Pelodiscus sinensis: one gene and its partner. The main gene of each other region encodes a partner of the protein of the gene in region 2 in a complex. Links are inferred from orthologs where the notes say so. Each region holds a gene or a part of one and is shown on either strand. Other genes may lie near its edges.

The links. The genes of interacting proteins can lie anywhere in the genome.
Region 1: THOC5 (region 2) and SARNP share a complex: the UniProt entries of both Homo sapiens proteins name them as parts of the transcription/export (TREX) complex. The link is inferred for Pelodiscus sinensis from reciprocal best matches to the Homo sapiens genes THOC5 and SARNP.

The regions. Positions count from the first base shown.
Region 1 is NC_134729.1:4,432,854-4,439,809, reverse strand, and holds the start of SARNP (SAP domain-containing ribonucleoprotein), read right to left. Parts: upstream 3,015-6,956; 5' UTR 2,888-3,014; coding exon 2,852-2,887; intron 1-2,851. Other genes in the region: ORMDL2 (ORM1-like protein 2), read left to right, coding at 4,730-4,903, 5,608-5,759, 6,504-6,639. UniProt on the Homo sapiens protein: Binds both single-stranded and double-stranded DNA with higher affinity for the single-stranded form. Specifically binds to scaffold/matrix attachment region DNA. Also binds single-stranded RNA. Enhances RNA unwinding activity of DDX39A.
Region 2 is NC_134725.1:5,322,217-5,329,528, reverse strand, and holds the start of THOC5 (THO complex subunit 5), read right to left. Parts: upstream 3,008-7,312; 5' UTR 2,633-3,007; coding exon 2,537-2,632; intron 1,895-2,536; coding exon 1,751-1,894; intron 767-1,750; coding exon 653-766; intron 129-652; coding exon 31-128; intron 1-30. UniProt on the Homo sapiens protein: Component of the THO subcomplex of the TREX complex which is thought to couple mRNA transcription, processing and nuclear export, and which specifically associates with spliced mRNA and not with unspliced pre-mRNA.

The DNA.
Region 1 (6,956 bases), on a different chromosome or scaffold from region 2:
ACTAGAAGGGAGTCAGATAATCTACTAGAATTTCTCCATTACAATTTCTGTAATTCTCTCTGTGCCTCCATTTCTCCCATTTGTAAATTGCCTTAATCCCTCTGAGATAGGATTGCAAAGCACCTGTCTTGAACATACAGAGCTTGAGAAGAACAAAAGATATATTAATAGAGGGTCTGAATCTAGTCTGTGCTCCCCTTGAAAAGCGATTTACATCCTGCAGATTCTGAGCTGCTCTGGGGACTGGAACAAAAATGAAACTGCAGACATGTTAAGCAAAAGTAGCAGAAAAATGTAAATTGTTACTAGGGATTGTTACAGCTCTCCCTAGCACCAGCTCCTACTCTCCCTCCCCCTTGCTGCCACCTCTGATACAGAGGCAGCAAGGGTGGGGAGACAAACTACTCAACTAGTTTCTCCCCCAACCTTTGCTGCCTCTGTATCAGAGGTGGCAGCAAGGGGGATGGGGAGCAGGAGCCAGTTCTCCCCAGGACCATCACCATGTGAGGCAGAGGCACAGCGGGGGACCTGGCATGAGCAGGGACAGATGAGTCCCAGCTTGCACCCAGTCCCAGACCACTGTGGCTCTGCTTTTTAAATGCAGTAAGAGCCTGGCAGTCCCTCGCTCAGTCCCAACTTGCGCTGCCCCTGGAGCTAACCCCCTTATCAAGTAATTGAGTAGTCGATGGAAATTCCATCAGCTACTCGATTAGCTTACTAACTGCAATTTAACACCCCTAGTTGTTACTATAGAACTGTGATGTCCAAAAAGCTAGTGACTATTTGGCCACTTGAGTGTGGCTAGTTTACTATAGCAGTGTTTCCCAAATGGTGTTCCACGAAGTGAAAATAAGGGTTCCGCGAGAAAATTCCATTACAATAACATTTTGTGATTTTAAAAAAATATTTAAGCATTTATGAATTTTATTGAAAACAATTTTCATTTGTGTTTGCCAAGGTAAGTGTCCCTGTGTAATGCCAGCGTAGCCAGAGAGTGGGGACGACAATGTCACTACTCAGCGCTGCGCACACAGTCAGTACTGCAATCGCCTATTAAATACCACTGCAAACCGCTGTAAATATAATTCAGATTCGTTTTTTAGCTTTATTTTTTGTACACATTAAATGTGATTTTTGTTTTTAAATATGTGCAATTAAACAAAATGTTGATCTCATGACCTTGTTTAGCATTTGTTTATTATTACCCTTACTTATTTGAGGCCTACTTTTTCAGCTCCACATATAAGACTATTATTGGGATTCTGCAAAATTCTTTCGAGTTTATAAGGGTTCCATGGCCAAATCAAATTGGGAAACACTGCTCTATAGCATTAGCCAGTATAGGAGCTACTGCTTCAGAACTGGTTGGACACCATGGCTATAGAACAACCTCACTAAATCACACTTCTTAAGTATAATTACACCTCCTTACTCACCCCAAAATACCCAAGTTATGAAGAACTTCCAATTGCTACTTGCTACCATTAGCGTTATGGTAACAGTCAACTGAAAATTCTGAAGGCGCATAGAGGAGATAATGCCTAGTGCCAAGAATCTGGGAGTAATGACTGCTGGGTTTTGGAAGGAATGGGTTCCAGTTGTTAGCACAGGAAACTAGGAGCCAAGACTTCTTGAAGATAGATTCAGATGAAGATAGATTAATCTGTGCCAATGATTTACTGATGCCTTGGACAAGTCAGGATGTAGAATAGTGATAGAAGTGTAGCCATGTTAGTCTGTTGTAGCTGAAACAAAATACAGGACTACGTAGCACTTTAAAGACTAACAAGATGGTTTATTAGATGATGAGCTTTCGTGGGCCAGACCTACTTCCACTATTTGATCTGAGGAAGTGGGTCTGGCCCACGAAAGCTCATCATCTAATAAACCATCTTGTTAGTCTTTAAAGTGCTACACAGTCCTGTATTTTGGACAAGTCAGTTCCTCTGTTTATGATCTGTTCCCCTCCCCCGCCAAAAAAAAAGGAAGAAATAAAAATACCTGCGTCCCTGTCCGACTGTTTGCCAGAAATTAAGATAAAGGTCCCTCTGTCTGACACAGCAGTCATGTTACTGAAACCTTAGATGTTAGAGACAAAAGAGACAGACTATCCAGTCCATCTGCCTGGGCCCTAGTGAACTCTTTTCAGTATTGTCCCGAGGCTCATTTAAAAACTAAATACTGGCCGCCACTGCAATCCTTGCCAGACTATTTTACACGCCACAACCTTGCTCTGCAAGTTTCTTCCCCTGCAGCTTTGACAGGCCTATTCCGTGCAGCACACAGGCGTGGCGATGCTTCTTCCTGAGGTAGAGGATTGGGAAGGATGCGGAGAAAACCCAGAGGTGGATAGACACAGACCTGGCGTGCAAGGAGGCGTAAGTGAAGGGTCGTGGAGCAGTGGCGCTGCCAGGCGAGCGTGCAACAGCCAGCACCCCCTCGTGGCGGGGGGGGGCTCACCACGACACGCGCGCAGAGTGGAAATCCCATGCGCCCGGGGGGCGGAGGGGGGCGCAGTTCCCCGGGGTGGGGGGGGGGCCGCAGTTCCCCGGGGTGGGGGGGGCGGTGTCCTTGGAGGAAGCCGCATTGGAAGCGGGTGCCAGGCCCAGCAGGGTGCGAGCGTCTCGTGACCCCCCCCCCCGGACACGCGCCCCCCCCCCGGGACACGCGCCCGCCCGCGGGGGCTCGCAGCGCTCGGGGCCGGACGAGCCCGTAGCGGGCCTCAGGCCTCGGCCCACCCCGAGGGAGGGGGGAGCCGCCCGGCCCCGCAGGCGCCCAGAGGCGGGGGGAGCCCCGGGGCCAGGCCCCACCCGCCATGGGGACGGGGAGCCCGCGCGCCTCCCTCCGCTACCTTCAGCTTGTGCAGCTCCACGGTCTCCGCCGCCATCTTGCCGCCTCCCCTCAGCTCGCGGCGACCTGGCCCCGCCCACCCCGGACGGGCCGCCGCCCAATGGCAGCCGCTCTTCTTGACCAGGCGCCCCAAGCGCGACCCGCTCAAGAGCGCGCCTTGCCACTAGCCCAGCCACCTCCCCCTCCCCAGCCCGGTGGCTTCCTATTGGTTGCCTTGGAAGGAAGGGCGGGGCATAGAGGAGCGACAACCACGCAGGCCAATGAGCGCTTAGAAGGGAAAGGTGGGCAGCCAATAGAGGGCGGCTGTGGGGGTGGGCGCTGGCACTTCCTGGAGACGAGCTAGGGAAGGTTCAGCCACTGCCGACAGGTGAGTGAGGGATGGGAGCCCCTTAAGGGCGGGGAAACGGATGGGGGGGGGGGGGGCACCTATGTGGGGGAGGGGGACAGCATGTGGGGGGCGGGGCGGCCTGGGTGGGAAATCAGGGGCACGTGTAGGGGGACAAATAATCTGTGGGGTGAGGAGGAGGGGCACGTGTAGGCTGGGGCAGCCTGTGGGGGATGGGGAGGAGGAAAGGGGGCAGCCTGTGGGGGATGGGGAGGAGAAAAGGGGGCAGCCTGTGGGGGATGGGGGATGGGGAGGAGGAAAGGGGGCAGCCTGTGGGGGATGGGGGATGGGGAGGAGGAAAGGGGGCAGCCTGTGGGGGATGGGGAGGAGGAAAGGGGCAGCCTGTGGGGGATGGGGGATGGGGAGGAGGAAAGGGGGCAGCCTGTGGGGGATGGGGGATGGGGAGGAGGAAAGGGGGCAGCCTGTGGGGGATGGGGAGGAGGAAAGGGGGCAGCCTGTGGGGGATGGGGGATGGGGAGGAGGAAAGGGGGCAGCCTGTGGGGGATGGGGGATGGGGAGGAGGAAAGGGGGCAGCCTGTGGGGGATGGGGAGGAGGAAAGGGGGCAGCCTGTGGGGGATGGGGAGGAGGAAAGGGGGCAGCCTGTGGGGGATGGGGGATGGGGAGGAGAAGAAGGAGGGACTGTTCCCAGCCTTGCCATTGGCCTGCTTGGCATCCTTGAGCAAGTCATTTCCCCGCTCAGTGCCTCAGTTTCCCCTTTGGTAGAATGGAAGGCCTGATAGTGCCCTCCTTTGTGAAGAGCTTCTGGAGCCACTGATGAGACGTACTCTTGAGAGAGCTAGGTGGTACTGCTCTCCTAGGAGGAGTGATGAGGTGGGATAAGCCTGGCCGTGGTGTCCAACATGCTAGCCACTATCCACGTGTGGCTATTTGGCTGGTTGTGTGTGGCTAGTTGGCTATAGAACTAGTTGGATACCACAGTTACAAGGGCTGGGAAGAGGAGCCGTGGAGGAAGAGAAGGGGCAGTGGGTATGGGGAGGCTGCACAGCCATAACAAGGGGGAGAAATGAAGACCTGAATTACAGAGTAAAGCAGCTCTTAGGGTCTTGCAATTTCAGCTTTGCTTAAGAGACTTACAAAGTCACTAATGAGCTGTTTAATGGATTAGAGTGAGGGGTAAAGGGAAAGGAGGAAGCTGGGAGTCAGGATGCCAGGGTTCTGTTCCCCAGCTTTAGGCAGGAAGTAGGGGCTATATGAGGAGGCTACACCTGGGCCCCACTTCTAACTGTTGCTGCCTCAGTTTGTGGCCACCTGAGGGCTGTGATGATTCATGCATTAATATTTATAAAGAATTTGGGGGCACTGGCCTGGAAGATGTTACAGAAAGATAAGTATTAGGAACCTGGAATGCGCATATGCAAAAAGTCAGGATCCTAAGGAAGGACAACATCAGGCACGTCTTGGAATCAGAAAACATCATAGTCTTTGAGTAATGTTGACTGCACTTCCCCACCACTGTCTCTCTTTCTTCCAGAATGAATGTTGGGGTGGCCCACAGTGAGGTGAATCCCAACACCCGGGTGATGAACAGCCGTGGCATCTGGCTGGCCTACATGATCTCGGTGGGAGTTCTCCATGTGATTCTCCTCAGCATCCCATTCTTCAGCATTCCAGTGGTCTGGACCCTTACTAATGTTATACACAACCTGGTGAGTGAAAGCTCAGCTTCCCAGCGTGTCTTCCTGCACTGCTAGAAAGTAGGGATGTTAACATGTAGATGACTACAAGATGAACCGACAAGCTTGGGCTTATTGGTTAATCCTGTTGACTACGTGCATTGCCCTCCACCCCCTTGCTACCTCTGTATCAGAGGCAGCAAGTGGGGGGAGGTGAGAGCCGGTCTCCATGGGAAGCTGGTTTTTAAACCATCTCCCCACAAGCACCGGATCCACCTGCTCCACCACCCCCACACTTCTGCCTCTGATAGCGTGGAGGGGAAGCAGGCAGGAGCCAGCTTTTAAGTTGGCTTTGTGTGTGTGCCAGCTTTGCGAATCCATCTGCCTCTGCACCTTGCTGATTCCTTCAGAGGCAATGGGGGGGACAGGACAGGCAGGAGCCAGTGCTATGGGGAACCCACTTAAAAGCTGGCTCCCCCAAGCACTGGCTCCACAGGCCCCCTGCCCCTCTTTGCCCCCCCTGCTGCCTCTACAAAAGGAGAACTTGTCTCCCCAGCCAGACCTTTTCTAAAACTGAACATGCTGTTTGACTCTAGTCTTCTGTAACAATGAGTTCCATAGATCTGCTGCCCTCTAGCTTTGGGTCCTGTCCGCTCTTGCCCCACTTGTGTGCTAATGGTACAACAGCAGAAGGACTGCCACTCTCCTTACACCTTCCCTTCCTGTGGAAATTGCAGGTTATGTACTGGTTTCTTCACACTGTGAAAGGAACCCCGTTTGAGACACCGGACCAGGGCAAGGATCGCCTCCTCACACACTGGGAACAGATAGACTATGGGACGCAGTGCACCTCCTCCCGCAAATTCCTCAGCATCTCGCCGGTAGTCCTGTAAGTGTTTGTTCCTGCTGTGGCAGATCATCTGTAAAGCTCCGGGTGGCATTTCATTTTTGGGACCTGCCTATGGTAGGAGTGCTCCAAACCAGAGTGACAGCACCTAGGCATTCAGTGGGGTTACCTATATTTCCCCTCCTCTCCAGTATCCCTGTGTAGGCCAAGAAGACTCTACCTCACGAGGCAGGGCCCCAGCTTTAGCTGAGCAGGTATGACTGGCCCAGAGGAGAGGATGGGACCACTGTAGTCTGCATGAAGCCAAACTGAATCACTAGCCTATGCTGGGCTCTCTCCTATACAGGGAAAGCCACCTCGGCTATAGAGTACGTTGGTTGTTGGTGGAACTGGCCAGAGCCCCGTGGCTGCCCTCTGACTATTGCATCTAGAGGGTACAAGCTCTCTGGCCTGAAACAAACCAGTGGGTATCATAACAGTCCTTGGCTAGCTTGTGCACAGAGCACCCTGGCTGCTAGCAGCTGGCCCCTTGGCTGGCACCACCGAAGCACCCAGGGCAGTATGGGCTCTAGTGACTGGACTCTGGCCATGCAGGGGAAATGGTTCTGTGGCATGGGTAAGGTGCTTTGGCTGGGGAATCTTACATCACACCCCTCCCCCCCACCACTATAGGGAGGGTTTCAGTCTTCAGCTGCCAATCCAGCCTCAGAAATTGCTTTTGTGTGCTGTCACCCCAGGCAGGACTGGATGGCTGCAGAACTAACCCTGCCTCCGTCTCTCTTCCAGTTACCTCCTCACCAGCTTTTATACCAAATACGACCCTGCACATTTTCTAATCAACACGACCTCCCTCCTCAGCGTCCTCCTCCCCAAGCTGCCCCAGTTCCATGGCGTGCGTGTCTTTGGCATCAACAAATACTAAGGCTCAGCGAGCCAGCACTGCCCAGCCAGCTGCAAGGGAAGAGCGGGCCTGTTCCAATAGCCGTCTGCTCTGGCTACCAATGTCTGAGGGCAAAGGATTATCGAGCCCAGCATGAAGGTGCTGTCCTGAGCGTGAACTAGAGCAGGGGATCCAACCGAGGGACCAGGTGCTGTTTGAGCCACTTTGTGGGGATTATTTTGCAAGGGGGTTAAGTTACTCTCCCTAATAATCATCGGTACTTGGGCTTTATCTTTTGTTGGGGTGGGGAGAGGCAACTGAACTGTGAGGAGGGAGCAGGTCTAAACGTCATGTGAGTT
Region 2 (7,312 bases):
GACCCTCCCTAAGCCCCCTTGAGTACTCACTTAAACTCCAGGCATTTGGTGATCTCCTTCTGCAGATGCATCACCTCGTAGAGTAGGTTCTGGAGCTGCAGGTGATAGGCGTCTACCTTCTGCTTTGCCTGAAAGAACGTCAGCGGGGAGCATGAAAACCTCAGTGCAGATGAAGCCAAAAAGAAGAGCAACCAGGGATGGGAAATCCCAGTTAAAAGTCCACCAGTTCAATGGAACGTTTAACCGGCTAATCATGATCCCATGCAATGCGCAGGGGCTGCTGTGACGGGCCGGTCGCCCCGGGAAGCATGCCGGCAACACCACACCCCTCAGAGCAGATGGCAAGAGATCAAGGCTGCCAGCCAGAGAAGGCAGATTTTCGGGAATGGTGAAACCCAGGAGATTCAGGGACACTGGCTGGCACCCCACCCCCAGCCTGTGCACAATGGCCTTGTGGGGCGACCAGGAGGTGCCAGGTGAGAATCGAATCAAACTGGTGCCGCGTTTTCATTCATTGTGGCTATTACAGTGTCGGCAGCCGAGTTTCCCAGGAAGCCTCTGCTCCATAGACCTGTGGCTGGAACCCTGTGTGGACTCGGGTAGGCCCCTCCCAGCCAGGGGGCGGTCCTTTCAATCGCTGGCCTCACGGTACCTCATGGGTCTGATCTCGCCCCTTCTTCAGCCGAATATGAGCCAGACGGTTGAGTTTCTTCAGGGTCATGAAGTACATGCAGCTCTGGATCCGCCGCTCTTCGATGGCAGCTGCCTGAGAGGGGAGGAGGCAGCAGGTAAAGGAGCTGGGTCGCTGGCCACACAGACATGTATTCCCCCCCCCCCCCCACACACACACCCACTCTTCCTTAGCCCGGGAATCACCAAATCCCTCCTGGGCTCATTCTGGCTCCGGGGCCAGGTTCATGACATCCTTCTCTCGGGTTTAACCCTTTCAGCGACCAGAGCAGCCTGGCTATTATCAGGTGGCTCAACCCTGCGCTGGAGGCACAGAGTTTAGTCAATGGTGCACCCTCGTTTCCATCCTCTTAGGAGCAGTGATAGCTGCTAGCCCAATAGCCCGCGCTGAAGCTCTCCTTCCTGCTACAGAAAAGGCCCAGCGTGGGCAGCGGTGCCGCCAGCTTTCTGCAACAGAAAGCCTCCTGGGATGAGGCATACCTGGGAGGTCGACAAATGCCTTTGATGTCAACCCCCGCGCGTCCAGACTACCGCGCTGAGCCGACAAACAGCTGATCGACTCAGCACGGCAGCCATGTAAATTTAAATGAAGCGGCGATTATTTAAATTGCTGCTTCATTTTCCTATGCCTGGTAGTCTAATCTACATGCCTCTGTCGCCAGAGGCATGTAGTCTAGACGTACCCTAAGTCTCAGCGCTGATCTGACACGGCTGCCCCACGGCGGCAAGAGGGGAGTTCAAGCTCCATGCTCTTCGCTCATTACAGTCCACTTGCTATGGGAACACCTGCCGAACTAGACCCTGACTCGCTTCTCGCAGGCCCCCAAGCAAGCGCCAGGCAGGGGTAACCAATAACCTAGGCTGGATTCGCTCTCTGGGAGAAGGTCTCCTGTCCCCGCACCGCTCTCCTGAGCTATTCAGTCCTTACGTTTCATTGCTATTGCTGGGACCATTACAAACCCCTTCCCCGTTTGAGGACGCCATGTGGCTTTCAAACCCACTGCTTTCGCGCAGCAGCAGAAAGTGTTTGAAAGGGCTCGGGAGAAAAGCTCCTTCTTACGCTGTCTTTGCTGCCTTTGCTCTTCAGATCCTGGATTTCTGCCATGAGCCTCTGAAGCTCCTGGCAGGTTTGCTTGTACAGTTCATAGTCTTTGCTGGGATCTCGGAGTTCCACCTCCGCCTCCTCACTGTAATACTTCACATCCTGCAAAGAGCAGAAATACAGAGCGGCACTTAACACTGCAACAAACCCCCTGCTCGCCTCACTCCACCAGGGGCCTGCTTGTCTAGTGGGTTCACAGTAGCACTACAGTGTCCCCAGAGACCAGCATCAGGTCCCATCCCATATTGGTACTAGGCTGACAAGCAGGAGAGGAAAAAGAGCAGCGAGCAAAGTTCTTTCAATGAGCAGACAAGATGAAAGACAGGCTCCACCTACGCCCATTGCCCCTCAAGCTTTTCAGGGCTTCTAAAAACACCCCGAGAGCTTTGGGGGGCCAGTGCAAACTTGCAACAGTGATAAAATCACTCAGAGAGCATAAGATGCAACTCTGGTTCCCAGGGTCATAACCCTTCTTTGCTCGGGATGCTGGGGATCGGGCCTGGCATCTGGCTCACTGAAGCCAATGGTAATAACCTCATTGACTTGAGTACGAGCAGCGGAAAGCTAATCCCGGGTGCTTTTGAGATGCTCGCCCTTACAACAGAGCGGACGAACAGGGTGATGCTTTTGTGATGTCAAGAGCTTTCCGAACAAAGCACTGACGGCTTCGCCTCTGCACTCCTGCCAGCCCGACAGCATCTGATCCGCCGCAGGATTGCCACAGGCTGACAATCATTAGCCCACCTGATCAGGGTCCACCCTGCCCCGCTTGCTCTCCTGGGGGGCCCCGTCAGTGCGGATGACCTTGGGTTTCCTCTTCTTGCTCGAATCAGACGACATTCTTATTTCACGGGCTCTGGGACGGGAGAGCAGAAATAGCTGGTCTCCAAACGGGAGCCCCTCGAAGCCTCTGCAACAAATGGGAGCGACTGTCAGAGACCCCGTGCTGCCGTGGGAGGGGGCGACTCTGCCCTGCTTCCCCTCGGCACTGCGCCTCCTGCGCCGATCGATCGTCTCCCCTCCTCAAACCAACGTCACCCCCAGCGCAGAGGCTAGGAGGGGTCCCCTCCCGCGGTCCCCCCGCATCCCGGCCTCCCCGGCTCGGCCCCGAACCTCCCCCGCGCCCGGGAGAGGCCCCGGGACTCTGCCCTGCTCCCCACCAGGCCCGGCCCAGGGGCTCCCTGCCTCCCGGGGGCCTTGTCCCCGCAGCCTCCCCGGCCCCCCCCCCCGCCAACCCTCCTGCCCCGGCCCCCCCGCAGCCTCCCCTCCCCCCCCCGCCCCGGCCCCCCCCCGCAGCCTCCCCTCCCCCCCCCCGCCCCGGCCCCCCCCGCAGCCTCCCCGGCCCCCCCCACCAACCCTCCCTGCCCCGGCCCCCCCCCGCAACCTCCCCGGCCCCCCCCACCAACCCTCCCTGCCCCGGCCCCCCCCCCGCAACCTCCCCGGCCCCCCCCCGCCAACCGCCCTGCCCCGGCCCCCCCCGCAGCCTCCCCGGCCCCCCCCGCCAACCCCCCTGCCCCGGCCCCCCCCGCAGCCTCCCCGGCCCCCCCCCGCCAACCGCCCTCCCCCGGCCCCCCCCGCCCCGGCCCCCCCCGCAGCCTCCCCCGCCCCCCCCGCAACCTCCCCGGCCCCGGCCCCCCCCGCCAACCCCCGGCCCCCCCCGCAACCCGCCAAACGCCCCGGCAGCCCCAGGCCCCCCGCGCTCACCGGCCCGCCAGGCGCAGCGGAAATCCGGCGGCGGAGGAGACGAGCGCGGCCCGCGGGGCTAGAGCGTCCGGCGCCCAGCGCGCCCCCTGCCGGCCCGCCGCGGAGCTGCGAGGGGCGGGGCCGCAGGTCCCTCCACGCACCGGACACGCCCCCTACGCCTGGGGGCGGGGCCCGGGGCCGCTGTAGCCCTCCTCAGGGTGGTGTGGGCGGGGCCAGGCACTGCTGCACGTGGCGTTCCCAGCCGTGGCGGGAAGGGTGTCCCTTGTGGGGCTGACGCCACCCCCCTCAGGACAAGGAACCCCCCAGCTCCTGGAGGGAGCTACGGCGCTGGGACCCCCGACCCGGGCGCAGCGCTCAGCCCTGCCGGGGACTCGGCAAGGGCCCCCAGCCGTGCGCCCTGCGCCTGCCTACTCCTGGTCTAGCACGTGGACGGGTCTAAAATCAAACACGGGCCTGTGCAAGCCCCCCCCCGCTGCACGCAACAAGGACACTCAGGGTGCGTCTGCACAGCGCCCTGACCGCGAAATAAGCTCCCCAAATTGTGTGGCTGATTTGGAGGTTATTTCGAAATAGCCTGTGGCCAGAACGAGCACCGCGGAGGCCAGTATCTCTAATCGAGGCACATGGCGCTGGCCGGCAGGTCTAACGGACCTGGGGTGCGTAAGCAGTAGGACACCGTGCACGGCCTTCGCGCCGACATCTCGGTAGCTGCCTAGTCCTGGGGCCCAGGCTTCCGAAAGAACGTGGACACGTTGCAGAGGTGTCAGGCGAGAGCGAGAAGGAGGATCCGAGGTCAGGAGAGCCACCTCCCAATGGGAGATTAGAGACGCGCAGTCTGTGCGGCTTAGCCGAGAGAAGGTGAAGAGGGCAAGGTCTAGAACACCCTACTTGGGAAAGAGATTACTAAGTCGGGCAGCTTTAGGGTCTAGCAGACAAAGGCTCCGAGCAATCCAACGGCTGGAAGCCAAGGCTGAACAAACGAAAAGAAGAAACAAGGCACAGATTTTGTTTACTGTGCGGGTAATTAACCATTGGCACATTCTGTAGCCATGGAGCTAAAATGGAGCTTTATGCAAAGTCCTGGGCCTCGGTGTACTTTGCCAGCCACCCTCTCGAATGCAGAAAGGACCTTGACCTTACCGTTGGTAAAGGTGCACCAGCCAGAGCACTGTGTCCAGAGCTGGTTCCACCGCAGGAATAGAACCTGATGGACACGGTTCTGTTTTAGGCTTACAACAAACACCCTTCTTCAAATTGCAATGTAACGTCCTTGTTTGAATGTGCACACTGCTTCTCTACCAGAAACGCTGCTTCTCTGAACAACAATCAACCCTCTTTTCTAAAACTGAACAATGTGCACGTTAACAATGCACAGAAAAGCCAAATGCTCTGGAAAAAGCCAAACACAAATGGAAAAGCGCCAAAAATTGCTCCAGATCCCCTTCAAAATACAAGCAGCGAGCAAATCAACAGCTTGGAAAAAAACAAGCCCCTATCAATTAAAACAAAATATTTATAATCAAAACCAGCTAAAACAAAAAACCTCCCAAACCAACTACAAAAAACCAACTACAAATAACAAACACCCGTCAAAAAGCCCCAACAATTGAACAATGCAAAACCCACTAATCCCAATTCAAAAAAACAATGATAACAAAACCGTTCTGCTTGAAAAGGAAATCCGTCCTGCCATAACTAAAGCACTGATCCAAACCGATACAACCCTGCTCCTCCCATAATCAATCCACAAGCCATAAAGTAGTACACAGAACATAAAATAATAAAAGAACGTGTACACGGGGTGTGTCTGTCTATAACCCTTGTATGAGCATCTGCTAACCGCCGTGCCACTGCGTTCTCAATCAATGCGGCGCTTGGCCTTTTCTTCCGATACAAACCCTTTGTGCTTCTTATAAGCTAACAGCTTTACCACCTCTGACACCAGGGGTGGGCAATAATTTTTGCAGGGGGGCCAATCAATGAATGTGGTTTGCGGGCTGGCTCCACCCTCTGGAAGGGGCGGGGCCTGGGGTGCAAGGGGCGGGGCTGGGGACTAGCCTTCCCCCAGAGTTGTCCGGGGCCAGAGGCTTTGAATTCAACACACAGCAAAGGGCTTGTGGCTCCCGGCCGTGCCGCTATCGCGTTGCCTGGCAGCCGCCTCAGGTTGCTGCGGCTATTTAAAGGGCTCGCGGCTCCGGCCCCTTCCAGGGTAGCGCCGCGACTGGGAGCAGTGAGCCAGATCCAGCCATCTGAGCCACCGCTGGGAAATTCGGTGGCCTGGGCAGCCGGATCTAAATGGAAGGCGGCCATATGCCATCTGTGGGCCGGATCAAAGTGTTAGGCGGGCCGGATCCGGCCTCTGGGCCGCGTCTTGCCCAGCCCTGGCCTAAGGCCTTCGCCTGCAGCCAGATTGAAAGAGCGGCCACCACTAGCTGAGAGGCAGGAAACCACACCCTCATATCCCTGGAAACTGCATCCCAGGAGTGTCCCAGAGGCGGGCCCTGCTCCAGTGCCGCCAGTAGCACCAGGTGCAGACCCAGCTCTCAAGGTGACATTTCATCTGGCAAGAAACTCCTTGACAGGAGAGTGGGGAGCAAGACACGGGAAGCCGTTCTCCCGCTCGGCTCTGCGCTGATCAGGCCCCGCTGGAGTGCTGGGCCCCACATTTCAGAGCGAGGTGGAGAACTTGGAGAGGGTCCAGAGAAGGAGCTCCGAGGGCAGCCTGAAAGAACTGGGCTGGTTTCGTTTGGAAGGAGCAGACTGAGCGGGGCATGAGAGCGCTTTTCAAGTATCTCAAAGGGTGTCACGAGGAGGGGGAAATGGTGCTTGGCCTCTGAGGACAGGACAGGGAGCAAGGGGCTGAAGCTGCAGCGAGGGAGGTTGAGGTTGGACTTTCGGGAAAACGGCCAAGCACTGGGATACGTTGCCGAGGGAGGCTGCAGATACTGAAGGGCAGGCTGTCAGGGATGGGCTACACTGCCGGGAAGGCAGCGGACGGGACTCGATGCCTCTCGAATTCCCTTCCCGTTCTAGTGCGCTATGGCCCTTTGACACGAACCACGGGGAATCCTGGGGCCGCACAGACAGCGTGGAAGGTGCCCCCGCCCTGCTCCTTGTGGTTGCAGATACAGACTCCCCCGGGCAGCCCTCGGACGTCTCGGAGGTTGTGAACTCCTCGGTCGGATTCTCTCGCTGGGGTTCCCGTGTCCGATCTCTGCCTGTGTCCCCCAGAGGGCTCGAGTCTGACCGGCCCTCAAGCAAAGCGCGTGTCTCCCTAGAAGTGCGGCCCAGCTGACTAGCAGACACCCACAGCGAGGGGGCTTCCTACTGGTGGTGCACATTCCGGCGTGCATCAGTGCACATCACATTTATTCCACACATGCATGGGAACAATCTGCCCATGGCTGGGATCGATCGGAGGGCCCATTACCACAGAGCCGCAGAGAGAGGCTACGTCTGAGCCCTGGGAATGGCAGAGAATTGGATGCGGTACCAAGGGCCCTGCGCACCTCCGGCATCTCTTCCCCAGCCCGGCGCCCCTCCCGCACCTGGACCCCTCATGTCTGGCTGCACCCAGAGCCTTTCGCTGCTCCCCAAGGCCTAGTTTCTGGGCCCCCCCATCAGAGCCTTCCCTCCCCCTCCGCCCAACCCTTTGCCCCAGCGAGTGAGGGTGGGGGAGTGGAGCAGGGTCACTGGACACAGGGGTGTGGCAGTGACCTTACAGAGGGCGGGGGGCGGGACCACTGGACACGGGTGCAGCAGTGACCTCACAGGGGACAGGGTGGGATCACTGGACACAGGGGGGCAGTGACCTCA